4 linked regions of the Drosophila melanogaster genome follow. The protein of the gene in region 4 interacts with the protein of the main gene of each other region in a pairwise test. Each region holds a gene or a part of one and is shown on either strand. Other genes may lie near its edges.

What was found.
Region 1: the proteins of X11Lbeta (region 4) and robo3 interact in a two-hybrid assay, tested with the Drosophila melanogaster proteins (one large-scale study listed by BioGRID).
Region 2: the proteins of X11Lbeta (region 4) and CG7164 interact in a two-hybrid assay, tested with the Drosophila melanogaster proteins (one large-scale study listed by BioGRID).
Region 3: the proteins of X11Lbeta (region 4) and hbn interact in a two-hybrid assay, tested with the Drosophila melanogaster proteins (one large-scale study listed by BioGRID).

What each region holds. Positions count from the first base shown.
Region 1 is NT_033779.5:1,252,698-1,260,345, forward strand, and holds the start of robo3 (roundabout 3), read left to right. Parts: upstream 1-3,719; 5' UTR 3,720-4,193; coding exon 4,194-4,248; intron 4,249-7,648.
Region 2 is NT_033779.5:7,776,931-7,783,260, reverse strand, and holds CG7164 (uncharacterized protein), read right to left. Parts: upstream 1,797-6,330; 5' UTR 1,627-1,796; coding exon 1,410-1,626; intron 1,350-1,409; coding exon 721-1,349; 3' UTR 501-720; downstream 1-500. Other genes in the region: Brd7-9 (bromodomain containing 7/9), read right to left, coding at 213-270; Uro (urate oxidase), read right to left, coding at 2,016-2,500, 2,570-3,143; CG7179 (uncharacterized protein), read left to right, coding at 5,276-6,330.
Region 3 is NT_033778.4:20,953,979-20,964,531, reverse strand, and holds hbn (homeobrain), read left to right. Parts: upstream 1-3,622; 5' UTR 3,623-3,944; coding exon 3,945-4,101; intron 4,102-5,686; coding exon 5,687-5,993; intron 5,994-6,142; coding exon 6,143-6,272; intron 6,273-8,756; coding exon 8,757-8,844; intron 8,845-9,070; coding exon 9,071-9,618; 3' UTR 9,619-9,864; downstream 9,865-10,553.
Region 4 is NC_004354.4:10,626,611-10,634,221, reverse strand, and holds the start of X11Lbeta (X11Lbeta), read right to left. Parts: upstream 4,906-7,611; 5' UTR 4,807-4,905; intron 4,049-4,806; exon of another isoform or gene 2,834-4,048; 5' UTR 2,414-2,833; intron 1-2,413. Other genes in the region: CG9806 (uncharacterized protein), read left to right, coding at 7,112-7,611.

The sequences.
Region 1 (7,648 bases), on a different chromosome or scaffold from region 4:
CCGATTCTCCACCTTTTATTTATGATTTTACGCCACGATATGCATCTTGTGGATTCACAATGACAGTCACTGTCTGCTCGCCGTCTAGTCGAATAGCGAATAGCTAGGAAAACTTGCCTTTTGGCTTTGGGGAAAATGCGAGGCGAAGCGAAGTGAAAACTTTCCCTTTTTGTCACTGTCTATTCAGCTCCCTCCATTCCAAATCATCCCTCCGCCGAACTTGGCGGCATTTCAATTACGTTTCCCTCGCAATCAATCACACTCAGAGTTGGAAAAGCTCTCCTCCACATCCTGGCAGCCAGAGAGTGGAAAAACATTTTGCATTTCCTCCTCCCAGAGTCCTGGTAAGTGATTTGCCCATTGATCATTTGTCTGAGCTATTGGACATTCCGATTTACTTCTGATTTGATTTGGGTGTTGTCAAATAGTGTCAGAGAATCTGAAAAATAATCTAAAATATAGTTTATCTTCTAAATGGATATGGATATTTATCCCTAGTTCGTTTCCATATTTAACCAGTTGTTTTTTTGGGCCAACATTAATAAATCCCACTGGAATCCAGCACTTACCTCGTACAATTTTCTTATAATTTGTTATGCCAGTTGCTGGCCAAACTTTTAATTCAACAGCAAAACCCGAATGAATAAAATTATGCCAAGGCAAATGAATTAACACTTTTGGGTGTGCTATACACTCCTTTGGGCACCGATCCCCCGGCCCGGCCTGCCACACCCCCTCCAGCATCACTCGGCCGCCCTGTCACCGCTCAACTTTCAGATATAATTCCTGGCTGAAAACTTTTCTCCCGAGGAGAGAGTGCAAAAGGGGAAGGACGCCGGCTCAACCGGAACTTCCGTGCACTGCTCAAGTTCTGGGCCGTCGCTTCGCCTTGGCTGAAAAGAATCTCTTCCGCTTTCCCCCCTTTTCGCCCCTTTTTTAGGGTGTTGTGGGCGTGGCGGCAAAATAAATTTGTATTGTTTTGTCTGGGTGGCGAGAGGCGAGGCCAAAGAGCAAACAATGCGAGCTGCCAGAGCTCAAAAACGGCAGCCACTAAATGCATTACGTGAGGGGCAAAGTGGAAAGGCGGTGGGAAAAGCGGGGAAAACTCGGTGGCGAAGCGAAGCGGGGGGATAGCGGCGGGAAAACTGGATGCCGTCTCCCTTTTGCGGCTACACTGTAACGGCTTTTGTGTGCGGGTGAGTGCTGGCTTTGGCATTGTTTTCCTGCACGGATATCCTTAATGAGTGGAACTGGGCTACCGCTTCTCGAGCAGCAGCATCACAACAGCTGCCACCCACAACCGTCATAATTACCCCGCCCCCTTCGCTGGACCAGAACACCCTCCACCATTTCCCCCACCCAGCTGACAAACACACTCGAGCTCCTTGGCACTCAAGAAACTGAAAACGGGGAGCTGGCGCTGGAGAAGTCCTGGCGGGGGTCCTTCGTATCTCTGACCACATGAGCACATAAATCTTCGGGCACGGTGGCAGTGGCGCCCCCTGACGGACGGACCCAGCTTGACGCCCAAAACCACGCTGCCAAGGAATGCGAAAAGTGCCTTCAACTTTTTATGAAATATGGGTTGACAGACGGCTCATCTGTCATCTAATAAATGCATTTAAAATTAAACAAATGCGCGCATAAGTGCTGCAATCAGTTAGACATTATGATAGATTGGTAAATTTATAAATAATTATTTAATTTATACATGATTTGGTAAAGGAACTCATAATTTGTATTTATATTTGTATATGTTATGTCCTTTATAGTTGCTTTTGACCCACTGTGCACAAGCCCCATCATTATGGGCGTGTAATTATCACGATGATCACTTTTCAACATAACCAAAGCGAGGAAACTTTTATATTAAAAGTAAACTTATGACAAACGAGCAAAAGAAGGCCAGCTGGAGGAAAAGTGGAGTCCTGGACAGTGGAGTCCTGCCACACACGCGTCACATCTGCAAGAGTGTGAGTGGATGTGTGGGGGTGTAAGGATGTGTGGGTGTCCATTGTCAAGTGTAATTTATCATTCAGTCAACGTTCTTCGATTGCAGTTTATCTTCGGAACTTACTTTACTGGGTCGCCAGTGTAATTTCCCACTCCCCCCGCATCTTTCCATTCTGTCTGTTCTCCGGTTCTCCCTTTTCCCACGAGTAAAAGCAGAGGAAAGTGTACTAGGGGAGCAGCAAGGATATTCCCTCGGAGTTGTTATTGTCCTGGCCGTAGAATGAATGGCAAATCAGGAAAATCTGACCCCCAGGTTGTTAGTTTTCTTGCAAGGATTTTTAAAGCCAATGGGAGCAAAATAGCAATTAACATGGATTTTGAAGCATCCACCTCGACCTCAGCCATCCATCCCTCGCCCTCCCTCCCCCTGCTTTTCCATTGAGTTCCTCCTGGTAATAATCGGAAATAATTGAAGAAAGAGAAAAACAGCGGGGAACGGCAAAAAGAGAATACTTACCGGACTGAAAAGCCGGGTAGCGGGGAATGGGTCACATCCTTTGAAGGATGTTTGTGTGTGCAATTTGTAGCGTTTTAATTGTTGTTTATGCGATCTAGAATGGGGGCGAAAGGAATGATGTGGTGGGGACTCCTAGGGCGCGGGGACCCAAATGCATCACCACCGCAAGCCACTGAGCTAATTTTGATTGCGGTGCCTGCAAACGACAGGAATCAGCAGGTGAAAGACGATGTCGGCTCCCGAGATCCTAATTAACTATGCCACTGATGTTTGGTTCGATTCAGCAGATTGCCCTCAAATGCGGGTTAGCAGCAAGTTGAAGTGCCTAATGCCCCGGGGGAAAACAAAGAACTCGAAGTCATGTGAATAAAGTCAGGGGATTGATGAATATGTAGAAGGATATGAAAGCTATCAAATTAAAGTAATACTTGAAATGATTAATTATTTTGATATTAGCAAAACAATAGGTTTCAATCATGACATTGATATCTGTAATCAGCATCTATTAGGAGTGTCATTACTGTGCAACTGGAATATATCTTATCTGCATCGGCATTTAACGGCTATTTCGAAATATTCAAACTTACTCGCTGCTTTTCTGGTTCTCATTCAGTGAATATATTTTACCATTCTCTCACAATGTTGTAAGCATTCAGAGAGCGAAGGAATTCCGGTTGAAACTCCGAAAATGTTGTTTATTCGGCCAGTGCGCAGACTCACCACTTTTGCCGGCAGGATTCAGCAACAAATGTTTATGCTCGCAACTGTGATGATAAACAAACCTGACTGAGACCAGAAACTACAATGTTGAGAAGCCATTTCAATATTATTTATTTGTTTTTGGAAATTTTAAAAACCCTATTGATATAAGATAAACACCAAACTACCATTAGAAGGCTGCCATTTTGTTATAAAATTTACTAGTATGATTGTACTTTACGGAAACACATAGCATTACAAACATTACAGAAAGCCTCTTATATGATGATACCTCCTTATCATACGGAATTCGATTACTTTTCGTTTTCCCGAGCTTTCCCCGCTGAAACAGCTGATTTGCCTGCAGGAATTTACTCCGAAATGTTGCTCTTCCGACTTCCCCAGTTCCCCGAGTTCCGAACTGGCCGAGCTGCTCCGAAGGCCGGAACTCACCACCCAGCGAACATTGCTGTGGACTGTTCCCGGTCTCCGGATCTGAAGGAACCCCATATCGAGTTGGCCGTGGGACGCCGTTCAGTTGAGTTTTGGTTACTGCCGCCAACGGTTATCGAGCTGAAAGTGAGCGCGTGTCGAGCTTTTTTGGTGCCCAGTTGTTTGGGCCAGCTTCGTGGGCGACTGGATTGGCAGCAAACATAAACAAACGAAGTGCGAAATTGCTCGGAAATCAGCTAATTGACACAACGGACATGCGAGGGCCAGACTTTGGCCAAATTTGGCCTGGCCAAAAAGGAAGCGGAAGTACTGCGGCCGCAAAATACATTGTAAACTGCTAAACTGCAGGGGAAGTGTAGCGAATAGTGTGCGAATGGAAGTCGAGTAAAAATCAAGCAACTCGAATAGATATATATATCTTTATATCCCTGCGGGAGTCGCTCCCCTGTGTCTGTGTGCCGGTGTGTATTTGTGTGTGTGTGTGCCAGGAGTTGGGCTGGGCAAATAAGTGCTCGTGCTCAGCTTTTTTAGCCAGTTTATCTTAAGGCGAAATACTGTAAAAAATTGTAAAATGGATTTACGTTTCGTATTCATCGTTTTCCTGCTCAAGTGGACCCATGCACAAGGTAAGCTCGAATAAAAATACACAACTGGTGCAAAAACCTATCCTGGTCATGGACTTCCTTCCTTCCGTCCATCAATCCATCCTATCCTCTCCTGCGTTTGCCTGGCATTCTCTGTTTGTGCAGCTGCCACAAGCTCTGGGTTCTGGGCTCCGAGTGGGTGGATATGGATGTGGATGAAAGGCGGAGACGGGTGCAATTCAAGTGCAATTCAGCCGGCCTGCAATTGCAAATATGCCATAGAAAATTGCTCAACAGAGACAGAAGTGCCAGCTCGTGAATGCACGACATTTGTATAGCTCTGCGATCCCGTAATGAGTTGCATTTAACTCATCCGACTCACTTGGCCGAGATGTTTTGGGAGCCGGGCATATTTATGATGATTGCCGACAGGTGTTGAATGGCTCGTCCAAAGGCTTGCCAGAATGTTGGTTGTCAGGCTTGGATTCACCTGAATGCTGGTTTATTGATACGTAGACTTGACTGGGAATCTGCATTCCGGAGACAGACTTGTCCCAGAAAGATACATAAATACTCGGCATTAGTAAATGGATAAAGTCCGTGCTGATAGCTGAAGAAGCCACCAAAGCAATTTACTAAGACTTAAAACTTTGAATCAAAATGAGCTAAGAATAGACTGAAATATAATTCGGTTATTATTGATAAATCAAATGTTGAATAACTAAGCTTGGTAACATTTCACACATAATATTCCAAGTAGTAGAGTTATTGTGGCAACACAATTTCCATTAAATCTACACTCTGAATTAATTCCCTTGCTCATCCTGCCTAATCGCTACCAAACTTTAGTTGCCAGATTAGCATATTTCCTGATTTGCATTTATTGGCCTAAACTGGCAGATAACTTAAGGCATTTCCCGAATCGTTCCATCCGCTCAAACATGCTTATGCGTAATGCATTGATTACTTCCTCCCGAAAACTTTTGCCAACTATAATTTATAACTCTTGCTTATCTCACCAATAAGTTGTAGCCATCAAATGGGAATTCGTATGAGCAAAACTTTTGTGCCAGACGCAAAACAATTTCCGCTGCTTTCAGCCCAACAAATTAGTGGAAAATGTTCTGCCAAGAAACGAGAAACAAGCCGGGGATTCCCCTCGGGCTGGCTAACTAAGCGAAATGAGTATGAATTCGAGTCGTGGCTCTGAATACAAGTGAGTACTCAGGGGCATGGCTCAAGCGGCATGTTTTTGTTGCATAAAATATGCGCATTTAACAAGGGGCTTCCCACACTTTGCCCCAAAAAGCAAACATATAAATGTGGGCCCACAAAAAAGCATTTCTGCCCGGCCACAAATGATACAAAAGATTATTCATATTTTTCGGAGGTAGCACATATACGAGTATGTATGTATGTACATATGTACATATGTGTGTGTGCGGCCATGTTGCCGCTGTTCAATTTGCGTTTTTTACGCTTGGATCTCCTTTTTTGGTTAAGGGCATTTTTATTATGTAGTTCATGCATGTAAACGAATTCAATTGAATAATATCCTGTCATTTTGTTGTTACATCCTCTTCGGGCTTTCCATTATCCCCCCCCCCCCCCGAAATTCTTTTCCCGGCTGCTCCCCTCGTTTGGCATGTCAAAATTTTTATCAGCGCACAAAATCCGCCAATGCAGGATGAAGGATATGGTGGAGTAAATAAATAAATCCCGACAACACGCGTGTCCTTGTATCGCCGTCCTGCTCGCGCAGATCCTCTCGCCCGCTCCCACGCTACTCTCGAAAGTATGCAATAAATTTCGAACAAAAAATATATTGGCATTTTAGTGGGTTGGCTGCCTTCTGCTCGTGTGCGGTGTATCCAATAAAAGAAAATTAAATACTTTCAGCGAAAGATTCTTCTTTTGGGTAAATTAATCGTACCTCTGTATTCTGTCGGAGTTTCAGATTTTTTCGCGTACCCAAATATGGATTACAATTCACTAAGTGCCTTTAATTCGAGCTTTATTTATAAATATAAATACAATATTTTCCCATATCTGTTACAGCTTTTGGCCCAATTCGAATGCCAGTTTCGCAAAACGGCTCCCAGTCGTGTGCCATAATTTTCGTTTCCCAACTTTGCCCAAGTTTGCTTAATTTATAAATTATGCATTATGTAGACTGCGTTACCAGGCAATTATCATTTTCCCGGGAAATTGCTGGGTCGCTTGTTTTGCTCCTGGTCTCTCGCCCAAGAAAGTAGGCTACGCAAAATTAATTTCTGCTGTATGTTTTTGCCTGTGTGCTTGGCTCGGCTCGGCTCGGCTCTTCATGTGCGTGTGCTTATTTATTTGGCTGGGATTCGAGAAAGGACTCGGATCGGTTGTCTTGTATTTGGCCCTCGTGCCTGGCGGCTACCGAAAGCAAAGGGCAAAAACACAGGGCCATCCGCACGGCGAAGTAGGAAAAAGTTTGGCAGACCGGAATATTAATGAGTATTTAACCTAAATTGTTGCTGCCTTTGATAAGTGCCACGGAATATTCCCCATGTAGCAACGAATCTATTCTTGCCCCTTAGCCAGCGGCATCAATGGCAGACGAGAGAATTGGCCGTCTCTCTGCGGAATGTGTGGGCTTCCCTCGTAACTGAGGCATTAAATTACTTTAAAAGAAGGGGAAAAAAAGGGTTAAATTATTTTAGATGCTAGAACGAACCCCATCGGCTGCCTTTAAGACTTTCCGCCCAAAAACTCGAAGGACCTGCTCGAATTTTGCTCTTTTCCGACTTCGGGGTCGGTGCCATGAGAATAGGTATTATTTGGCCAGACTCGAGTTAATTGAAAGGACGAAGGTATTTATTCCTTCAGGGAGAAGGACCCGGTCGGCAAGTAATAAAGTAATATGGAATTAATCTGGAGTCCATTAAATATAGAAATATTTGAGAAATTGAAAGCCAGTCGGGTAGAGATACAGTATTTACTTGGCAGTTTATCAAGCACAGTGGCAATTGACTAGGAAAAATTTCTACATATCTATGGAAAATTCAATAAGAGAGGTTCACAGTTTTATTGAGTATATCAATATGTTGAAATAACTAACATTAGTTGAAACTACAAGCGAATTAGATAAATGAAACAACAAAGCTGTGCAAAAATATTTGGCTTAGTATAAAACCCATTAGCTAGTCGAATATTTATTTTAGCCAACTCCTACTGCTGTTTTTACACACACAATTTCCATGCAAAGCAATTACCAGTTTCCAGTTGTATTCACAACGTCCTGGCAAATTGTAATTTATCTTAGCCTTGGGCCAAAGGACAATTCAGGCAGATAGTCCTGTGGCAAACACACAAACACAGCCGCACATGAGCATGCGAGGGAAAATTTTAATTAATTTCAGCATCAATTGAACGGCTGTCATAATACAAATAGAGCAGAGATGCGCACAAA
Region 2 (6,330 bases), on a different chromosome or scaffold from region 4:
ATAGGTATTATAATGGGTGCTGAATAGTATTATTACTGCCTTTAGACGCGTAGATTATTTCTAACCATGCATTTTGTATTAATTGTGACAAATAATGTACACCCATTTTTTTCTAAGTGTAGGCATGCTCAAAAACAAGCGGCAAAATGTGTGAGCGAGATGGCCTATGGCAACAGGGGCTCACGTAGACACAGCACTTTCATTTCACTCACCTTCATATTTCTCGCGTCGCTCCGACTTGTTTTTCTTGTGCTTCTTGGAGGAGCCCATCTTAGGCTCCCAGTTGTCGAACAATTAGGCAAATCGGTGAAAATGGTAAGCAAAATAATTAAAAACAAAAATCCGCTGGCGAAAAACAGACGCCATGAGCAGTGTGACCGTTCCTTTTGTCCAGAGAATTGTAAGACGTCTCGCTGATATTAGCCATTTGCTTTCCAACACTAAAAGCAATTGATAACATATCGATTTTTACGGCTTTGAATTTAAACTAAAAAATTGTTAATTAAATTGTAAATTTGTTAATTTAAATTTATTTTATAATGTCAAAGATTTAAACAGTAACAGATTTTATCAGTAAATTTTTCTATGTACTTATGCTTGTAAAGTGAAAGAATACTTTACTGAAAAGAACAATTATTGTAGTTTATGCCTTATTTTGAAAATAATTTTTTTTTTGCCGAAGTTTAAATCATTTTTTTTTCTCATTTTTTACTTTGCATTTCACCGAACTTTTCGTTTGAGAATAGGGGCCTTGTTGGTCAGCACACTTTGCCGGTTCATCGGAATGGCAACGGTCCGGGCCTTTCGTTTGCCACCCGAGCGGCGATTGGTGGAGGTCACCATGTTTTGCGTCGGCTTCTGCAGGGCGGTCGACTTCCTGAGACTCGCCTTGTTGGCGGCACTGAATAGGGTGCGCGTCGAGTTGAGGCTCTGCAGCGAGGTGTCCAGCTTGTTGCGAATCCTGTCCAGATCGGCACGCATTCGCTGGATATCCATCGCTATGGTGTGTCGATCGCTTTGCAGCTTCTTGTGCTGCTGCAACATGGTCTCCAGCACTTTCTTCTGTTGGATGACTTCACGGATGCGATTGTGCTGCTCAAAGCCACGCGATCTCTTCTGCTTCTGGTTGATGCAGGCCTTGACCTTCGCCAATGATTTGATGGCAATGCCATGGCCACTGTCCGCCTTCGAAGAGTTGCCGCCACCCTTGATGCGCCCCGCCGACTTGCGTTGCGGTTGCTTGGACACCAGTTTCGATGGCAGTGGTGGTGCAACTACTGGTACTGGATTCGGAGTTCCAGATGTGGGCAGCGGCCCCGTTGGCCGTGGTCTTCGTGGTGCTCGTACCGCTAAGTAAATGATTGATTGGTTTTGAAAGTTTCTGGTTAGTTTTTAGCACAACAGCTTACACTTCATGGTCGAGTGAATATTGGCCACCATATTGTCGTAGGTCTTTCTGGTGTCGGGCAACAGGTAACGTCCTGGCAACTGACTCGATCTTAGCGAGGCCTTGATCCTGTCCCTCCTGGACAGCTGCGACAGCCTGGTCTTGGCGCTCTCCTCCTGTTCCCAGTCCCTTCGCAGCTGGGTGGTCAGGATGTGGTGCAAGGCCAGTCGATTGGTCATGGTCACGCTGTTTGTGGCTAAATGGTTATTTGCTAATTTCGAATTTAGATTGCGAATTTTGACTGCCAAAGTGGTCGAAAATTGTGGAATTTATTTTATATATTTTTTTTTATGAACGATGCCTCATTTTAGGATTTTAGAAAATAGTTCTGATATAATTTGGATTTATTCAGCCAAGGCAAGGGTGATCTCGAAATATGGTTTTGCAATCGATTTATTCATTTTTACACTTTATTTTTTATTAGTTTATTATTGTTTAAATAAGAAGAACGCAGCATATGATTCGTTTGCTTAAATAATTTAAAATACATATATAACTTCGCCGCATGCAATTATGAATTGGCTAAATTGATTTAGATTGATTTAGATTTACTACATCAGAGATCGATCTACAGGTGACTATTGATGTTCTTCCGGGCCAATTGGGCATAGATGGTGCCATGTGGCTTGTCCACTGGGATGAAAACTTCATTGTTGTCGCCGGGTGCAATCTTCTGGAAGGGCTTCGTATCGAAGTTGAAGTAGTGCTTGTTTGGCATGGTCATCGAAATGACCGACACCTGCGGCAGGACATCCAGGACCTGTCTTTCACTCAGATACAGGGTGTGCTGAACGGAGGGCGAGGACACGCCCACCTGCGGATCGCCAGCAAAGTTACGAATGATTATGTTTTTGACCGTTTGCCAGGCCCTGAGGAAGTCCAAGTTCTCGGTATCGGAGTACTCCCAGGAGCAATCCACCACGGTGCTAAAGATGCGATCATACTGATCTGGCAGAGATCTGAACTCATCGTTCACGAAGTTCACGAACGAGGATTGGGTCGTCTTCAGCACCCGGAGACCCTTGATGCCCGTGATGACCGTTTGTTTGGGATCTAAAACAGTAAAGGAGGTGATAATTTAGTAGTTTTAAATATTATTGCTTTAGTTATGTTTGACTTAACCTGTTCTCCTTATAACCACATCGCAGTAGTGAAGAGCGGTGGGCGTGAATATAAAAGCGTGATTGTGCAGTGATCTGTTGTCAATGGAGCTGAAGTCGCAGTTCCCTTGGACTCCGTTCTCGCACTTCCCATTGACGTTGGTCCTGGTCTCCTCCTGGCAAACTCGCTGCCAGGGATACGCCTCCACATGAACGTGCGCCTCCTCCACGTGCGAGTATTTGTTAATAAAGTGCCTGGCCAGGAGCAGAGCAAACTTCTCGGGACTTTCAATGCCATGCTTTTTCGCCAGCAAATAGACGGTGTTCTTCTGCGAATCGGTGGCCACGATGTCCGAGTTGTTGCCCTGGTAGTAATCCTTTTTGCTGTACAACTTCAGGTGAGTGCCCACCTCGAATTCCTGGATGGCGTGCACGGGTCCGTTGCGGCTGACATGCAGCACCTTGACCGCATCCTTGCCGTATCCGTGATCGGTAATCTCGTACTGATACGGCTTACCATGCTCATCCATGCCGGCGGAATTCTTTGGGGTCTGGTGGTTAGCCGCAGCTGGCTGTCTGAGGGGCGTGGCAAACATTGTGACTGCAATCACTCTCACTTTGATACTGATGATGCCATCAATTTCCTTGCCGCCTTTTATATCAGAACACCTGGATAACAACACAAATCTTTGTGTAGTTAGGGATTTTTTTTAGCGCATTTCGTAGAAAGCAAGTGGCTGGGAAATCGTATATCATCACTCTCACTTAGAGTATTAAAGGTCTAACTCAAATTACGACTAGTAGCGCTGATAATCGCGGCCTGGTGCCAAGTAAACATGACCAAGACTCAAGGCTATGTTTTCTATCTCCAAAACTTTGCATCTTGTTTACTTCACACTCATCTAACCAAATCCTTATTTTTGCAATATTACGTAGGAGATAAGTCGCAAATGCCGTTTTAACCATTAGCATCACTTTCGGGGGTAAATGAAAATTGGTAAATAATTTTTACAGATCACATCTCTGAATTTTATTCTTTTTTAAAATCTTAATTTCTCTCTTATTCACGCACGAGTCACTATTATTATTAAAACCTTGAAAATGTGTGCGTTGAAAAGATACATTTATTATTTCACAACATTGGAAAATAACAATTATTTCACCATAGAAAAAAAATATTAATTTACGTCTTAAATTTGATGTGACACTTTTGTTTATTAAATTTTAGGAGACCATTTTTAATATCCTTGATAATGGTCTTAAAAAATACACATGTTTAAGTTGAGTTTCTGGAATAATCTAATGTGACAGAATGTGTTCAGATGGATTCGACTGATCAAAAGTTTAGATATATAATTTATAGAATCGGAAACGCTTTACTTTACCAGTTACATACTGTTCAGTAAGCCTAGTATACCCTTTTAGTAAAGGGAATAAAAGGTTGGCATAGCAACTGCAGATCTGAAAGAGTGCAATTTGTAATAAAATGAAAGCTGTATTTGCAAAGAGTTTATCATTTCCGTGTGAGTCTAAACTTTTTATAAACCATTATTCTATTAAAAAACAAAACAATTTTATTATGTAGTGGGTCATAAGTACGTGTGAGCCAATCTACATATGTATATCAAAATATTTATTAACTAACCTATAAAATATAGAATGGTTTTTTCAAATACTCATAAACAGTAAATGACAATACACATATAGATACTATTATATATCACTATAAGATAGGGCGTTTAGTCTCGATTTATTAGCTGGAGGATTTAAACATACCACTTCAGCTTAGTGTTAAGTCAGTTTTATTATATGGATATAGAAAATGTCAGATGTTCTCTGCTATCTTGTGGTGGTCAAATTGCTCAGCAGCCAAATAATCTACTCTCTGCATAAAATTTCTATCTACAGAAGCTGTGGCTTAGTGCTAATCCAGTTTAATCTCATACATACTCTGGGTGAAGATATTTCAAAAGATATGTGCGCGCTTTTTTAAGATATACATTTGACATATATTTGTTTAACACGGTTTTTAGGAGCGTGCCTTGTATGCATAATGGTCTCCCACGATCCGAAATAGCTATATTCATATGTTTGTTGGCAAGTTATGTAAGTTCCGTTTTTGGTTATTGGCTTAAGATAAACTCTATGTTGGAATTGAAGTGTCATTGTTTGTTAAGCGAGAGTTTTATTTAGCAAAGATAATAATATTCGTGTTTATATAAAGGTTTTGATTTCACGGTTAAGTAAATTTGATAATAAAGTTTACTTTCGCATAAGCACGCGTCATAAAGTTATTTGGCTTAGTTTATGCATTATATTGTAGTACTCTACTGATATGATAAACTATATGATCTTGAAGATGATGATATGATTGTAAACGAGTAGAGAACCCCTGCCACATGAATCATCCCCAAAAGATGTACCGCCTGGAATTTAATCTAATGGATTGGTAGTTTTATGAAGCTTTTGGCACCTCGAAAACATGTTGTCCGCCCCAAAGTTTTGCGTGCGGTTCAGTGAACTAAAGTGCGAGTTATGAATGAGAGAGTCTTAGACAAGTGAATGCTTTTGTTGTCGACTCCACAAACAAAAGTGCAAATTGTTTTCCAGTGAAACCTGCGACGCACCCATGTAAAATATTATTTTTTGGCAGGCAAACATCGATGTCTCGTGAACCGCAACGAGTTAGTTGCGTCTTTGAGCGCGTTACCAGCGGACGAACAACGACATGGAGCTGCCAATAGTCCTTCTCTTGGTACTGAGTGTCATTCCATTTGAAGCCCAGGGAGCTGTGCACGATGAGCTGCCCCAGTGCGGCTTACATGGTGTTTACAGGCAGCGACAGAGTCTCGTCGAATCGCCCAACTATCCGGACAACTATCCGGTGAACACCTGCTGGGATTATGTGGTGCGATCTCCCTACCGCTGCCCCACCAAGTTTCACATACAGTTCTTGGACTTCAAGCTGGAGCTATCGGAGAACTGCAGTCGGGATTACTTGGCCATTGGCCTGAACAACGATGGCGACGACATGGAGGTCTTGTGCGGTCAGGTGCTGGGTATCAAAAAGTATCACACCCCCGATGGAGTCCTGCGTCTGCGCTTCCTTAGCGATGATTCGCCTTGGACAACCAACGGTGGCTTCCGTTTGCTCATCACGCGTTTGGCCTGCGAAAGGGAGGACTTGGTGGCCAGGGGTCTGGACGATGACGAGGAGGACGTAGATGGCGACACGGTGCAGGTGAGCGCCAAGTCGCCTCCGAAGAAGCTGCTCACCCAGCATCACCATCATCACCTGCCACAGCAAAGCCATCAGCCGCAACTGGAGCCAGCTTTCAACTATACGCAACCAAATCGGTTGGGGTTTAATTTGGGCTTACAACCAGGTCTTGGTTATCCCGGTGGATTATACCCACCGCCTGCGGGATTACCACCCCAGTACACACCGCCATGTGCTCCCCAGCAGCAGCAACTGTTGCAGCAGCAGCAGGAGCAGCACCGATTCCTGCAGCAACAGCAATTACAACTGCAGATCCTGCAGCAACAGCGACTGCAACAGCAGGTCCTGCAGCAGCAGCAGCTGCAACAACAAGTACAAGTTCAACATCCACAGCAACTTCAACTTTCCCAGCAGCAGCAGCAACTGCAGCAAGAGTTGCCCCTGATTTCCGATCAATATCAGACCACATCCTTTCAGCCACATGCTGTTACTCTCAAGGATTACGATGCCCAGACCTTGCAGCAGTTTGGTGGTCAGTTGGATCTCTGCTGTGCCAGCAGCTT
Region 3 (10,553 bases), on a different chromosome or scaffold from region 4:
CTTCAAACTATTCCAAACTATCTGGAGCCGGAGGAGTTGGGCAAACCAGCCAGCCCCGGATGGAAATATATCAAATTGATTAAGGACATTTAAGTAATACACAGTTGTTTAAGTTTTCGGTTTATGTTTGGCAACAAAGATATGGTGGCTCACTAGAACATATCGGAACTTATCAAATGATCATCAAGTATTAAAACACATACAAACACCATAATAGAAGTTGAGTATCGAGATGAAGCTCGTTTATAATTAGCTTACTAAGCTAATAATAACGGTAATTGAAATTCGGAAATCCTTTGTGGTACTTAACTATATAGACTCGAATCCCATGCCACTGCTAATTGCAAAAGTCAATCGTTTTACCGCCCATTCGCAGCCACTCAAAGTGTTGTCAGTGGCAGGTATAACCTGCGCCACCCTCCACGGTGGCAAGTTAAAACTCAAAATTAAATATCCCAGCTAAACGAAAAGCTATCAGTTCACCACTAACCCTATGTTCATCCTTAACCCCAACCGTCGCACCGCCCAAAACCTCCAGCCTCCAGGACATCTTCTTCCATTTTCGCCGTGCCCCCGGGGAATGGAAAGAATATCCGGTAGACAATGGCAGGCAGACTGTAAGTAGACGAAAACTTTTTAGTTGGATTATGTGAAGGGTAAGAATGAACGCATACACACACACACACAAACACACACACAGATACCCCATACCCATTTAGCTACTTTGCACCCACACAACGAGCGAAATTCATTTTATTACTTTGATATATTAGATTTAATGGTTAAGAAAAATGTTGCCAACAGCATCTTTTCCCCCACGCACCACATCTACCCCCTCCCCCCCCCTCCACTGGTTCTATTGTGAAAAGTGGGTGTTTGTGGGTTGTTGTCGTCGTCGCAGTTAACCTTATTAAAAGGTGAACACAGTCATGGCACCAGAGAGAATTGCCACAATGTGTTTACACGCAGCTGCTGCCAAGGGGGCGGAGTGGGTGGTGTGGGCGAAGTGGGTGGCATGGGTGTGGTGAATGGTTGGATGGGCTGCTGGCGGAGGGGGTAACACGATAATGACCTCGTTGGCTTCGATTCCCTGAGTGTGAGTGAAATGCCGGGACATCCAATGAGCTTTCACCAGCGTTGCGCATGTCCCGAGAGAATCTCTCGACCAGAGAGAATTCTGCGAGAGGACTCGCAGCTGGAGGATATCTTCTGACTGCCCCCCATTCCGGCCCCAAATAGATGTGCTAATTTAGAAATTACAATGAAGTGCAGTCTTCAATGAGTTTGAGTTTGAGTTTGGCTTTGATTCAATTTGTCATTTCACACTTGGCCTAAATGGCTTTCGGTTGCATGGGGCGGGGTGTTGTAAGAATGGCTCCTACAGCTAAATTAATTGAAAGTGTTGAAGAGCACAGACAAGTTGAGCTTGGATGGGAGGAAGAGGTCCTGTAAAGCGACAATATTGATTCGCAATTACTTACACTCAAGCGCATCAAATTTATAATGTGCTATTGTTGGGTAAGGCATTTGCCTAATAAAAATATATGTACTGATGATTTTCCAAGACTACTATTTAGCCTTTCTCAATCACCCATCAAAATATAAACCATTTGATAAGAGATTACCTAACGAATTATAGCTACTTAAGAACTAATTCCTCGTATCTTCAATCCAAAATGGGCAATCAGATTGCCCTTGGATAAAAAAGGGCATGTCCTGGGCTGGATTGAGGATCGGCAATTAGTGAGGAAGGAGCCCTTTTTTCTTCTGTTTAGCAGTCCTAATGAGCCGGCGATTACGACTAAGTGCGCTGATGATGCTGCATAAATTTTGGTGGCCGGCGAGCACTATGCATTCCACATTAGATTAGAGATTCCGAGGCTGTATGATCTGGGCAGGAACGCAATCCTAAGTCTCGAGAGATGCCCTCTGCAGCTCTAAATTAAACGAACATGCAATCGGATTGCTGAATGAAATCTGCATAGGGAATGCGTCCTATGAAAATATGATTAAGCGCCTCGGCAGACTAAACCTAATCCTGCGTCCTGTTGAGTCCCCGTGTCCTGTGGCGTCATGCATCTGGCACATTAATGAGTCCGGTCAACGCTTTGTCCCGCTTACTTGTTCACAGTTTTCGCGGAAATTACGTGTGCACTTTTCCCGATTTTCCCGGCTGAAGGTGCCGCGATCCTTGGCTTTGTTTGGGTTCGGGGCACAAAGGAATTGTGTAAGTTTCGACAAATTAGAGACCATAAATCCCGGTCCCTGCTTTGTTATCATTGTAGCCGGCGTTTTAGCACACCATGTATCCTTCGGGCATTAGATGGTTTTTCTTTTTTCGGGAACCACTTTTGGCCATTTTTGGCATCCTTTTGTGTTATGCAACCTGTGGGTGGACCAGGGTTCTGGACTAAATCTTGGATAGAGAGCCCTGTCTAAACTGAAGCTCAACGCAAATCCCAGATCTAAGTGGGTGATTTAAACAAGGCTGAGCTATTTTCGGTTATTTAATCGTAGCAAAACCAGGGCCTACATATTTTTAGATCCTTTTTGGTTGGTGCTACTTAAAATATTACATTTTTATCATTAAAAGGAAACATGCAGAAAATATAAGATTGGTAGGAAATCTTCATAGTATTTAGATAAATATATGTATTAAATTTATTTATGTATTATTATTATTATGTATTTATGCACTGGCTATTAATTAAAATGATTTGAATACTCATTAGTGAAATCAGTTCCGCACTGTACCTGTTGCTTTTAACGAAATTCAATGCGGCCGAAATCCTTCGAGATGAGATCAGTTTAATCAATGAACTTAGGTTTCGATCCTGCCACAGTTCCTTGCTAAGTAAAGGGATTCATTGATCGTTTGGCTTGTTCAATGAAACCACGGGCTCATTCTCAAGATCACGGGGATCCTGGCCATAAATCTATCGCCGAAATGGAAGCGGAACTAATAAAAGAGGACCTGGCAAATGGCCGACTTGATTCAGGTACCAGTTTGGCAATCCCGTGAGTGGTTCAACCTGTTTTGTGATTTGTGGATGAGCCGGGAAACGGGAGGGAGAGGAAACTACTGTGAGAGAGAGTGAGATATATATAAAGGAAGAGGGGGAAGGGTGAAATAGTTTTTAACAAGCGAAATTTGTGAAATAAACACAATTAATGAGCAAACCATGTTAGTTACAACTACCGAAAGAGAGTGCATTAAATGGGTAGGAAAGAGAAAGGTGTCAAGGAAAAGTACCAGAGAGATTTGAAAAGAGAGACAGAGAGAGAGAGAGAGTGGAGGAGGCCAACACCCCTAAGCCAAAACCAAAAGCTACCTGCAACCCAAACTCACACACACCGAGCGAGCCAACCCAACACACAGATACACGGCACTGAGATACTGAGATACTGGGGGAAACTACCCCTACAGCAGGAGAGAGAGGGAGAGAGCGAGCGTGTGCGAACGAAAGAGACGGCTGGCATGGCAGGACATGGGCGAAAGCGAAGGATTGGGAACTGTGATTCCGATTCGGATTCGAGAGCGAGCGAGCGAGCCTCGCCCATTTCACTTGCTAGCGAAAAACAGGCAACGTATTTAAACCTACGGGCGGCAGGAATCGCACTCAGTCGGTGGTTGTTGATCGTCACGAGCACTACTCACTCGCAGTTATTCACTCGATTCGATTCAGCTCATTGCAGTTCGTCGCAGTGGCTGTTCCGTATTCCGTATCGAAATCGCATCGTTTAATCGACAAATTTACCCGATAATAGCAATTAATTAAGCTAATTTTCAAAGCGTGCTCAACAAATATTGTGACATTAAACAAAAGTTGCCAAAAACGAAAATCTGGAAAATCGCTAACAAAATAAGAAAAAACCAACTTGTAGCAAGTGAAGTAAACCAATAGAAATCCGTACGGATCGCGAGTTGCTCTTTTGGTGGAGCTATGATGACCACGACGACCTCGCAGCACCATCAGCACCATCCAATCATGCCGCCAGCCATGCGCCCCGCCCCCGTTCAGGAGAGTCCTGTCTCACGCCCCCGCGCCGTCTACAGCATCGATCAGATCCTGGGCAATCAGCACCAGATCAAGCGCAGTGGTGAGTTTTAGTTTAACAAATATAAACTGGGGATAACTTACTGGAATGTAAATGTAAGGGGATCCTTTTTACAAAAATTCATCGTTTGCCGTCGGCGATCTGCGTTAGAGTTTCTTAGTACATCACACAAAAAGCTTAAAAGGAAACATAATCAAGATACAATAATTGCATTTTCTTAGAGAATCTTAATAAATTGTTTAGCTTAGTTTGATTTAAAAAATCCAATATCAAAATTAATTTGTGAATAGCTATGGGCAGGCGTAAACGAATTAAAAATTCTAAATTTGAATGTATAATTTGAATTGATTACGACCTATTTAGTTAGTCTAGCTTGTTAATTACAGCTTTGAAATATTTCTCACACACATCTTAAACATAATGAAAACATCCTGAATGCGTTACAACTTACCACCAGCAGGGCAAAATATCACGTTAGACTTCATGCACAGCCAATGGGCTCCCCCCCCAAATTTGGTGCTCCAAAATCCGAACCGTCCTCCTACTCCACTGACCACATCAAATAGATCCTTTCGCAAAGGAGCCGGAGCAGTGGAGAGGCAGATTGACATTGCCATCCATATCATATGCAAATTGCTCGCAAGGGACATTTTATCATAGTTGGGAAAGGTGAATGAGGGCAGTTCAAAACTTTCCGACAAACACCGACCTCGAACTCCACCCAGAGAGCAAAAAGAAAACATATCATGACAATGGGAGTTGTTCGGCATGTCGGAACTCTTGTTGTGGGCGTGGCCAAGCTGCAGGAGGCAGTTCGCCCAAGGATCTACTTGAGAAGAAAAAAAAAAACACTGTATCAAAACATATCTGGCCGGATATATCGCATGGAGAGCGGGAACGGGCAATTGCGTCATTAGACCCGTAATTAGATTGAAGTCCTCGGGAGAGGTGGAGGCTGGAAATTGCCTGGGCTGGATTCAGTGGAATCACGGCACCCATTGGTCCAGGTTGCAATTTGGCGACAACGAGCGGCGTGCGCACCGCAGGACACTGCATCCTGTGAGCCTCGTAATTTGATGCTCGCTGGAAATTACCTTCTTGCCACATGGGTCTGCGTAAATGTTACGAAATACGATAAGGATACAACCAGGACACGGGCGTCCTGCTGAGCGGGGACGTGTCCTGGTGCCATTGTGAATCCGATTAATTTGAGGTTCATTAAAGTTTGATTACACGTTTTGCCTTGGCTCGAAAAGAAACCGTTTTGAGTACTCACCAAATCGTTTCGTGTGAAAGGATATTTATATGCTCGCTGCCGTGGTATTGGGGTTAAAACTTATTCCGGCTTTATATTTATTTGTTATTGATTGCCAAATCAATTTGCGTAGCTTTCGAGCACTTGAAGGATTTGAATTTTATTCGAGACTGAGACCGTACAAAAAAAAGGGGGTTAAAATTGAGGATATAACTACTTCAGCCACAATTGAATGAACTTCAATTTCTGCAGCTGCCGTTTGGCTTTCGATTTTAAAAGTCAAACGCGAAACTTTTTGTTTCCCCACACACTCGAGTTCAATTCGAAATTGTTTAACTTTATTTCCCTGCCACTTTTTGTTTTTTATCGCAGATACACCCAGCGAAGTGCTGATTACGCATCCCCACCACGGCCATCCGCATCACATCCATCATTTGCACAGCAGCAATAGCAACGGCAGCAATCACTTGTCGCATCAGCAGCAGCAGCAGCACTCGCAACAGCAACACCATTCGCAGCAGCAGCAGCAGCAGCAACAATTGCAGGTTCAGGCCAAACGAGAGGACTCCCCAACGAATACGGACGGCGGCCTGGACGTGGATAACGACGACGAGCTGTCCTCCAGTCTGAACAATGGCCATGATCTCAGCGATATGGAGAGGCCGCGTAAAGTTCGAAGGTGAGTGCAGCGACAATCCGCTTAGCAGATCAAATCGTATTTACCCATTGTCGGGCTATTAAAAAACATGCCAACAAAGAGGAGGGGGGCAAACTCTTATCCGACGTATCTAACGTGCCGCCCTTGCCGTTCCTTTCGATTTTTCACAGATCTCGCACAACATTTACAACATTTCAATTGCATCAGCTGGAGCGAGCCTTCGAGAAGACCCAGTATCCCGATGTTTTCACAAGGGAGGATCTGGCCATGCGATTGGATTTGAGCGAAGCACGCGTGCAGGTAATTGAAATTGGTTTTCGATTCGCACAATTATTTTCGAATTAAGTTGCAGTTCAACTCGCTCAAAATGTATCTGTATTTTCATCTAACGGCTATGGGCTTTAAATATTGCCATCGCAGTGTCCGCTAATAAGCGAATAAACCACTTTCAGAGTCTGGGAACTTGAATGGCTAGATAAGAACGGGCAAAACAATCGCCGAACCCAATTTGTAAATGGTCTTTGAAACACTTAAGCCCCACTTTGTATACAAACACGCTTAGTTCGTTAGTCGGAGGAGGGTTGAATACGGGTGAATACGCGTCCCTTTTTCTCTATAGAGGGTTGGCACCAAGGACATTAGATATTGTGATTTTCCAAATGATTAAATCGTCCGCGCTCACATGGTGTTGGTATTTTTATTAACTCTACTTTCGGGTAAACAATTAAAGTGGCTTTGGGTGCTGACTGGCGGCAGGACACGCGGCCAAATATACCCGACTACACATGTAATTAGGGTGTCCTTTCGCCCCGAATCGCATACGATTTGATTTCAGTTGTGAAACGCTTTCAAACACTTCACATCTGATTGAGCGATTCGCTCAATTTCGATGCTGTTTGTTGACAGGGAATAAAAAAGCAGGGAAAAGTATGGCCTGGCACAAAAAGTGAAAAAAAACAAGAAGTGAAGAGAATGTGAATGTGAAACAACTTGACCTAAGCACTCACATAGGGATTACCCGCTTCGAATACAAATTGTCCGTTTCACGGTCGTCATCCGCATGCTCACATCCTCACATCCGCATTCTCATCCTGCGCGTCCTTGCACTTATTCGTATCTGTTAGCAGATTAACTGTAATTGGTCATTGATTCGCATATGCAGAGCGTTTCGGGTACTTGAATAGTAACCGACTTAGAGCTGCCCGATTTTAATACATGTGTTATTTTTTTTGCTGAGCTGCTGATAGATACAAAAGTATCCAAAGCGTAATCCCCGCTTGTTTTGGGGTTGGTAAGTGAGCAATTATTTTCGGATTTGCATGCTCGTTGTGTGGGGCATTTGGTGAAAAAAAAAGGAGTAACCAGCGACTTATCTGCCGGGTTAAGTCAAATTTTTATTGTCGAGTTGGGGTATCGAAAAAAGCGAAAAAAATATTGAAAGCGAATTTGTATCAATCTGGAAATTGTTGAAACAAAGCGTTTTTGAACGCTTTATGCAGTCTTTTTAATTGGAATATATGCAAAGAACTTTCACATTTGAAAATCCAAAATAACGAATTCTTATACAATTTTTTAAAGTACACATTTTTTTTTTGAGTTTACAAACCGCCTCTTCCAGTTTTTGCGACAGTTTCTTCTCTCGTTTTGATCGCACATGTGTGATAAATGCTGAACGGATATCCGCAATTCAACTTTTACTGCCTGGCTGCTCTGGCACAGTGGTTTAAGTTGTTGCCATAATAATTGCTGCCAACTGACAATTAAAAAGCCCACAAAATCGCACACACACACAGCACTTATGCTGTGAAGGGGTTGGGGGTGGTGGGTGGCGTTTTCTCAGCAGAGACACACACAGGACACAGGACAATAATTGGCAGCAATTATAGCAAGGAAATCGTTGCTAATTTACTACTCGCTCAACTGCACACATTGTTGCAGATTGTGGGTGGCCGTAGAAGGGGGTTACATCTAAATACAGGGTGTCTATAATTGCAGAGCCTTCTCTATTGTCTCGAATTCATCAACGAGCGTTACAGACAGTTGTCAAGTGATTTCAATTTACAAACAATTAATTTTGCCATCAAAAACGAGAGCCTCGGCTCGGACTGAAAATTCGTCGCCCCCAAAAGGCGGAAATGTATGTGCAGCCAACGCCTATTTTGTGGATGGCCTAGGGGGCACATTTGCATAGGGGTGAATTTGGGTGGCTGCGAGTTTGGTCCACCCCAAACCCAAGCAAGTGTCGAAAAATGCATAAGACACCCTTTTGTCCGACGAGCGAGACGGGTAGCGACAGACAGAGAGCGTTGCAAATCAGAGCAGAACACTTCCGATTGGATGCCATTGTATTTGACCTAACCCTCCACGGCGTCCAAGTCCTTTGGCTCAGACACTCGAGGCTGGAGGCGGCAGAAGGAGCCATCCAAGGACCAAGTGCTTCCAACTTTGCGAGCACACAGATTGATAGATTGGGAAATTGTTCGGTTTTTGGTCAAAGTCAAAGCAATTACAAGTCGCTTGCCAAGGCGCTAGTTTTGTAGAACTAATCAAGTTTAGATCGAGGGATAGATACCCTTTAGAAAAGTATGCTGGTTTTTGAAAAGTATACAGGTTGTATACATAAGTCAGAAAAAGGCATATCCTCTCTTCGGTAAATGATATATCAGATAATTTTATGTTTTTTATTACCCCTTTAGCTTATAATAGCCTTAAATCCGAGGGCACCCAAAATTTGCATACCTACAACTCCATCTCTAAACTCCCTTCTTTTTCGTGCACTTGCAGGTGTGGTTCCAGAACCGTCGGGCTAAATGGCGCAAACGTGAGAAGTTTATGAATCAGGACAAGGCCGGTTACCTTCTGCCCGAACAAGGTGAGTTAACCACCCCCATCTCACGAATCCACCCCATCAAATCCCAGCCATCACCCACCCAACCAGCGATACGCATTTGATTTGTCCGCAAATTGCCAAATTACGTGTGCAACATAATTAGGAATTATGTCGCTTGTGTCGCTTGTCTCACCACCATAACCACCGCCACCACCCGCTCTCTCTGACTTTCGACTAACGAAATCGCCCTTTTGCCTTCCGCTTGCAGGTCTGCCGGAGTTTCCGCTGGGCATTCCCCTGCCGCCACATGGACTTCCGGGTCATCCGGGCTCGATGCAGTCGGAGTTCTGGCCCCCGCACTTTGCCCTCCACCAGCACTTTAATCCCGCTGCAGCCGCTGCCGCCGGCTTGCTGCCCCAGCACCTGATGGCGCCCCACTACAAGCTGCCCAACTTCCACACCCTGCTCTCCCAGTACATGGGCCTGAGCAATCTGAATGGGATCTTTGGCGCGGGAGCAGCTGCAGCAGCGGCGGCAGCATCGGCCGGCTATCCGCAGAATCTATCGCTGCACGCAGGACTCTCTGCGATGAGCCAAGTTAGCCCGCCGTGCAGCAACAGCAGTCCGCGCGAGAGTCCCAAGCTAGTGCCTCATCCCACACCGCCGCATGCCACGCCCCCAGCGGGCGGCAACGGAGGCGGCGGACTGCTAACGGGCGGACTGATCTCGACGGCCGCCCAATCGCCGAACAGCGCGGCAGGTGCCAGCAGCAACGCCTCCACACCCGTCTCCGTGGTCACCAAGGGCGAGGACTGAACGCTGTTCCGTGATATTTGGATTCGTTATGTACATATATAGATACACGCATACTTGTAGATATCTAGTTTTATTCATGGTCACATAGCCCACGCACTGTAAGATATTTGCAGCTTTGTCGATTGCCAAAGTTAACGTAGTTGTAATGCCTAAAGAATTATGTATCTGTAAGCGATCTTCGAGCGAACATTTTGGTAGTCTATCCACTAAGTTTAAACTGTCGAGAAATAAACGATATGAAAAGATACTTGTTGCGTTTTATGGCTGGTTTGAAGATATGCTAAAAAGTAAGATAGATTGTTGATCAAAGAAATGAATTATTTCACTATAAAGATCTTACGTCAAGTGATCTTAAGTTATCACACAAAACATAGGATGTGTCGTTTCTTTTGTACATTCCTTGTAAACAGGTCTTTCAAATTTTCTAGCCTTCTTCACATATTTTCATTTTCAATGCCAAAATTAATCTCCCGGTTAACTTCCGTTAACGGGAAGGACTTTTATAATTTTCCACAACATACATACATACACCGATCTACCCGCCGCGCGGCAAATTAATCGCAAAAAGTTTGTACCTTAAGTAGGGCTTATGACCCTACAAAGATCCATTATGAATCGCTCAAATGCTACAATTGATTGTGTACAAAACTCGACTCGACCTTTCCTTTTTGCCAGAGTCAAATGAAAGCGATCTTGGGCCGAATATCGAGGATATTCGACGACCTACCCCGACAATCGAAGAAGGGGCCAGAGTTCAAATCGTATAATAATCTCGATATTATGTCAAAATTGCCGAGCGCAGGAAATGTTGCATAACATGTGAAGAGCAGGACAAGGAGCAGGAGACCAAGTAGACCAAGGAGCCGGAGAACAATGGGAATCCAGAAGGAATCTATCGCATTGTGCCAGACAGCCGTGTAGGAAATGCAGCTCTA
Region 4 (7,611 bases):
AAGGCCCCAGCAAATGGAGCGTTATTCCCTGCCAGCCATAATTGTGATGTTTCAACGCAGGCTTTCCCAAGTTGAGTGAGCAGTGGGAAATGGAAACTGCAGCTGAAGTAGTGGTCCAATTACCAAGGAAACACAAGTTCAACTCGCCAGCTATTGTGGCCAATTAATGAGGATTGCGACCGTTGAAATGGAGACGCTTTGAGCGCATCAGAGTTCCCCAAAACTGCTCAGTCACTTTGGATTGCTTGGGGCCATCGATTTGTTGCTTAACAATCGGCATTATCGGACAGTGAATAAGCCAATTGCGACACTTGAAAGTTGCAATAGCCTTAGATAATTGAGGGAATTGAAGTTCTTGATTGACTGACTCAAAGAGCCTGGAATATATTTCGTAGCATTAGTATTCATCCTCGGTTGCAGTGCTGTTTTATTAAGCAACTTAAAGTCACAAAACGATTTGTGCATTGAGAACACGATCGGATTGGAAATTTATGACAATTTTTTAGAGACTTTTCAAGTGACCACAACTTTTGTTACATTTACAATGCTCAAAGTGCTGACAAAGTGGAATATTATTTTATTAAAACAATGCGATTACTCATGTAAGTCTGTGCATGTTTCGAGGAAAGCATTTCTTTCTTTAAAGTGGCCAACATTTTTAACATTTCAAAGGATTTCGTCAACAGTTGCAATCACAGATGCAGTTGTCAGTATTCGAAGTACATCCTTTAGTTGATGTTGATTTTGTTACTCTGTAGATTTTAAGCACGAGTTTTAATTTCTGTTTCATGGAGTATTAGCTCCCTTGCTGATTGTAACCCCAACTAGTCAATTAATATCATTGGTTTTTTGACTGGGTATCGGGGAATTGGCAAAGAAATTGAAGGATTCAAAATTAATTAGTGACAAGCCAATGCAGCCATCAAGCTAATGCAATCAGAGTAGAGTGAACGATGAATAGGGCTGTTTTGTGTTCATGGTGATGATGGTGGGAATGGGTGGCCAGGGTAAATACACTTCGATTAACGCTAAATTAGCTCGCGCTGAACTGAACCGATTGAACAAAAGCCGGAATTGTCAGTGGCCAATGGCGGGATGGCTGGGAAGGCCAGGATAGCTGGACAAGGATGAAAAGGATAGCTGGGCTGGCAGGATGATGACGCCGATGATGATGAGAGGGAGAGCGATGACGACAGCAACCAGGCTGGCGGCTAATGGGTGGCTTAAGCGAGTGGAGCCACGACAATCACCCAACCACCCACTCATCTTTCTTCTGGCTCTTTGTGCATTGTCAGCCCCATTGGCCATGGGATGGCATGGCGTCGAATGCATTTGGCTATGATTCACAATACAAAAGATGCAGCGGCGGCAGCAGGGGGCTGAATAAAACTTGTGGGTAGCGGATAAATAGATGTATAAGCGGGTTCTATCTATACAGAGTGCCCCTCCATCATACCACACTCGATTCTGTGTGTGTCTGGCAATTTGCTAGGCGCTCGCCCCTCTGAAAGCTGACAAAACAAGTCCCTGACCCCAAAAAGTAGGCAACAAAAAGCGTTGGCTGCTTTGTCAGCTTCCCTTATACACCCAAACCCCCCTGTTTATACCTCAAACACCCCCGGGCTATGCTAATAACCAATATTTTAGAGCCAAGCCGCCGTCTGCCGTTGAAATTGTCGCCAGGCCAGCAGCAACAAAAGCAACGGGCGAAAAAAACAAACTTTTCACAGATAGCTGAGCTGAGCTGAGCTGAATCATGCCGCAGACAAAGGATATGTGGGTATGATGCGCTGGCAGCTGGGAAAGGAAGTCGAGAATGGGCCAGACGAGTAGTACAAGGCATTAATTTAACAGGATAATTGAAAATGAATAGTTGCATGTGGCAAGATGTGTGAGGGGCAGGAACGTACAACATCCGGACATGCGACAAATCAATGCGGAACCAGGAAGGGACCGTAGATAATAATTTAGAGGGAATTTCCCTTGAGCCAATCGGGGATTTCCCAGACTAGCGACTGCTGCACCGTTTTAACGACCAGCTGAGGCTTTAAAGGGTTTATTAATAAGGGCAGCAGTGGAAATTATTCATGGCTTATTCAGAAGAGTTCAGTTCATTATGGAAAGTCAATAAAAACTATAGATGCCGTGGATATTCATTAACAGTTGTTTGTTAGCAGATGTTCTATGAAAAGATCCTTGAAGCCATTGCTGTGTAAAGTATTCGATTTACACAACTCCAAAATATCATAAACTCGTATACCTTAAACTTTAGGCGTGTAAATCATTAAAGCTAATCATTTAATTTAAATGTTTCATAACACTGCACTGCAGCCGAATTGATAGTAATAATCTCTCCATTTAACGGATTTCCTTTCACAAATAAACATTGAAATATTGACTATTCATAGCTTACCTTTAGCCACAAGCTCATATGCTTGGTGGTCAATGCGAATTTTGCCTGGGTCTGCGATTTCGATTTCGATTCGATTATTTGGTTTTGATTTCGGTTTTTGGTTTGTGTGATTCGTGTGTGGATTATTTAGTTTAAAGAGAATTTGACGTTAAGAATTGGTGATTAGACACACTTTAGGTTTGGAAGAATATATATATATATAAATATATATATATTTAGATTGGGTTAAGGTTTAATTTATATTGTTGTTTGTTTCTGGTAGCTGCTGTTTGGTTTTCTGTTCAGTTTTGGCTTCTGGCTGCCAATTGCGAATTCCAACTCTGGTTTAGTTGGCCAGTTGGGAATTCGAGTACAACAAAATTTAACTTGGCAAACACAACGAAGGAACGATGGAACGAACGCATCAAACGAACTTGGGAACTACGAGGAACGAGAAACGAAACGAAACGGAATGGAACGGATATTATGTAACTTTACGGGGATAACGTACAATAGAATGTGTAATTTTGATCCACCGATCGACCCAATCATTATGTGTGTGTGTCTGTGTGTGTTCAACATTCTCAAATTATAAATCGATAATCTTTAGTTATTTGATGATTTCTCGAGCATGCAGGTTGGTTAAGAAGCAGGCAATGGTTGAACATCTAATAGAAACTCAAGGATTTGGTAGAAATGGGGCTTCTATTTACAATCGGGACTCCAGCCAATCAGTGGAAGTTTTAACGAGTGCCAACGCACAGGAACCATCTTGAGAACTTCACTTTTTCAGATGTTATTCTCAGTCGGTCTTCCCAAATTTCAAGGACTCGAGTGGGAAAGTTTGTTTTCTTAGGCAGGAGAAGTTAACAGAGTGGATAAAAGTTCGATTCAAGGCATGTTAACTAGACAGAACAAGAAAGACAGACAGAGATGGAGCGACAGACAGAGACAGAGATAGAGTGAGAAAGAGAGAGGCAGACCGATATAAAGTATAGTTATAGTTCTTATTTGCTAGTATAAAACAAAAATGAGTGTGGTTTATTTTTAATAGTTGTCAACAGTCTAGATCTAAAGTGGTAAAAATGGCAAGACAAATCGGGTAATGATTCTATGGTTGCTTAGTAAGTTATTAAGTTATTTTTATTTTTTTAATAGAGAATGGGCGCTACGTCTTTTGATTTTTTATCGAGGAAATAGATAGAGCTACGCTAGAGGTTCTAGAGGGATGCTAAATGCACATATTACGGGAACGAACACATCTAGTAATGCATTTTTTTGGTGGAGCTCACATTTTTCAACATTTGACGACATTTTGGACAAGTGGACTCGGAATCTGGACTCTGCCTTTCTTTCTTTTACATTTAACTCTTTTCTTGTTATTTGATTGCGAAGTGGTTCAGATCGAGGCTGGTAGTTGGTGGTTGTGGTTCTTGGTGGTGGTGGTACTAGTGGTTGTGGTGGAAGTAGTAGTTCTAGTGGTGGTGGGCGGTGGCATTAGCTTTAAACTAGCGGGCGAGCGGTGAGCGTGAGGCGGTGGTGGGTGCAACGTTTATTTTATTTCTTTGGGTTTTTGTTTTTTCCTTAGCGTTCAGCGGTTCTCAGTTCACTTATTGTCTTGTATTTGCATTGGTTTTCTTTCTATTTGGGCAGTACGAAAACAAAATTAACGTAAACTGATTTGCCATGCCCCTTGGTCCTTATTATTATATACTTTGTTTTATCATTTTGCAGACAACGCACAACTTAAAAGCAAACTAAACAAACTGTAAGCGAGTGCCAATGACACCGGGATCAGATGAGGGGGGGTGCTGGTGGGGGTGGTGTCTCGGTGGTTTGTTGTATGGCTGCGATGACGTCGACGGCGACGGCAAGTGGTTGGAAATGAAGTTTTGAAGGCAACGTGGCGCAAAAGTTGAGCGAAGGGGGTGGGTGCGGTGATTGAGGGGGAGCGGCTGGCCAGGGAAAAAAAAACAACCCTCCGCTTGACAGGCGCTGCTGACTCAGAGCGAGAGAGCAATATCACTTGTCAGGAGAAACAGCAAAAAAAACGAGAAACTACACGATGAATTAACTAAAAGAAGACAAAATAAACACACACACACACACTTTGACAGAGCGACAAGCACACAGGACGGCAAATCGGTTAACGGTTAAACAGTTAGCGGTTCAACGGGACAACTCAAAACCGAAAGCGGAGATCGCGAAGAGTTGCAATCGGGGAATCAATTAAACAGCTGTAAGCACATAGCTTCGCATCACATGCAAATGGCCAGAAGGTTGAGTACAATAATACATATTAAGCGTGGGTTTGTGTTATTTCTTATTTCGCTTCCTCCTGCTGTTTGCACACTCATCAAAACACACACATCTACGCGCACGCACACTCGCACACGCACACTGGGCGCACAAACACTGGAAAAAAAAGTATGTGACTGGAAGAGTGGGGAGTCGGTATCCCATGCGTACGCCTTGCGAATTCGTGACTCGTCGGCAGCACGTTCAAAGAAGGACTAAAACTAAACCAAGCCAAACAAGACCAGCAACTGAGCGCTGTCTATGTGTTGGTCGATCGGAGGGGGGCTGGACAAAGAGAGCGGCAGTCCCGTTACGCGCTGTTAACGCAACAGCGGGATGATGTTAAGGTTAACCCTTAACTGCACTACATCCGTGACATCTGCTTTACTTAATATCATTGATTCAGCTGTTTGTATTTTAGTCCTAGACGATGAAAGAACTTCATTCAAAAAAAAAAATAGTTCCTCTTCTCCCTTAAGACAAAAATTACTTTCCTTGAAATAGTTACAATCAATAATTACGTAAAAATAATTAGCAAAACTTAAAGAATACAAATGAAACGTCTTTCTCCAAATCCAAAGACTGTTTTTTAAACATATACATTATATGTCATAAAGTTAAGTTCGAATTACTTATGGGTTAATAATACGCAAAGGGTACAAGTGTTAAGCTACCAAAGTTAACAGAACTTATGTATGTTAACCTAACTGTTTCCCATAGTCAACAGAGAGAACAAGAGAGGGAAGGAGAAAATTAAAGAGAGCGAGAGTGGCGCATGTGGGGAACGCGACAAGTGGCGGTCAATTTGAATTGACATTCAATTTTAGTCTGGCAATGTCAATTCAAAGCAGAAAGCAAATAAATATGTACACAATTAATTAATGAAACAAGATTTAAAATATCGCCTGCTATTTTTAATGAATACATTCAGATATGTTGCACAGGACACCATGCACTACCATCAAATTTTCTTTACAGCTTGACAGCTTGTTGGAAACATGTGACTAACGGAAGAAGTATTTCAGACTGGCAATGTTGTGCAGAGCACAGACTTTTGTCTGCAATATTTTGACATTTCGAAGGGCAAAAGAACGCTTGCACGATGACAAGGGTGAAGAGGAAAGTCAAAATAATAAAAATTTGTAAATTGTGAGGGCTCTTTCCAAACTTTCTCATTCTCTCTTTTCTCTCTTGCTTGAATATGGTACGATTGCCAAAGACATGTTGCTACTAAAATAGACACACACAATATGCTTGTACATGTGTGTGCGTGCGCTAAACGCTGGAGCATACTTAAGTGCGTTCGCACTCGATTAATTAGCAAATTGAAGCCATCCGACTTTGGCAGTTGGTCAAAGGCAATCGGCACGGAAATCAGCGCAACTAGCCACTGACAACTGTCAATAAGATGAGCACTTTACATAATAAGTACTCTCTCAGCCACACACTCGCACAACAACCCACATAGGGAACATACAGTGACACACACACATAAAAGAAACACGCACGAACACATTGGCAAATCAGGCGAACACGCGCGCGTTTATGGGCCGCAGAATTTTCGGGGGAAATTTAATTTAAGTCTCTAATTATCGAAGACAAATTCGGAAGAATGTATTGAAATTAAATCGTTTACATTTACCGTAAACGCCCTTAATATCCACGATTTTTACACAAATTCGGTTAGGTTTTAAATAATATTGTTTATTATCGTATATCTGTTTAATTGGCGTTTTTGGCGTGTTTGTGTGCGCACCGTATTGGTTAAACGAAGTGCTCCAAATGCTGAGAACACACTGAAACTAAAACGGACGAGGAACTTACGCTGAAGTCATGGCTTTGACATTTGCAAACGTGTTAACCTCGCAGGCGGGAGAATAACAGTACACGAGAGAGCCGATGAGCAAGACAAGAGAAAGGCACCCCTGCGCAGGCGCAGTCCCGTAATCGAAATCCACCCTACAACTTACCACTCAGCTGGTTGCAAGGGTGCAGTGGGTCTTCATTTGTGGCAGACAGGTGGCGCTACGAAAGCTTTAAATATCTTTATGGTAAAGCTTTAAATAAAGCTAAAATTGTTCATCCTTAAGCGAAGTTAACTATTTATAATACGGTACATTTTAAAAATATATTTCAGCTACTTTGATTACTGGTCAAAAACGACAATCAACTGACAACTTTCCGTATTCCACCCCAAGACCGTTACATTTTACAACGATCCTGCATCTCAATTTTTTACAATTTTTGTCATTTTTTTATATATGTATGTACATCAAGCCAATCAAGCCATTTGTATTTAATTTAAAATAATATTCGTTTCCGAGTGTATTTCGGGAGAGCAGTCGTCATGCCGTTCAAAGCGATCAAGTGTGTCGAATTCTGACCATCGAATTCTGATCATTCTAAATCAGCCCGTCAGAAATGATAAAGCTGCCCTGGTACTTGATTGTTTTGCACCTATGCCTGCCTATAGGTGGTACTGGGGCAACTGCGTCTAACCTTCGTCCTCTGCACTACAATCTCAGTCTGCTGACCGAGGTGGAACCATTGAAACTGAGTGGAAACTTCAGCGGCGAGGTTATCATCCGGCTGCGCGTGTGGCGAGAAACTCGCACGATTATCCTCAGTAATAATGGCCTACAAGTGGGGGAAAACGTGTTGCTAGTCCGGAGGAACACCGGTGGTCGGGTGACGGTGCGCAAAATGTGGCAAGCTAGCAGCGTCCACCAACTTGGCATCGTGTTCAATAGTATGCTCTGGCTGGGCGAGGAGTATACGCTGGTTGTCCAGTTTAGTGGCCAGTTGTCCCGCGCCAGTGGCTACTTTGTGGGCGGCTACATGGATTCCAAACATCATCCGCAGTGGATAGCGGTCACGCAACTGGCTCCTAATCTGGCCAACACAGTCTTTCCCTGTTTCGA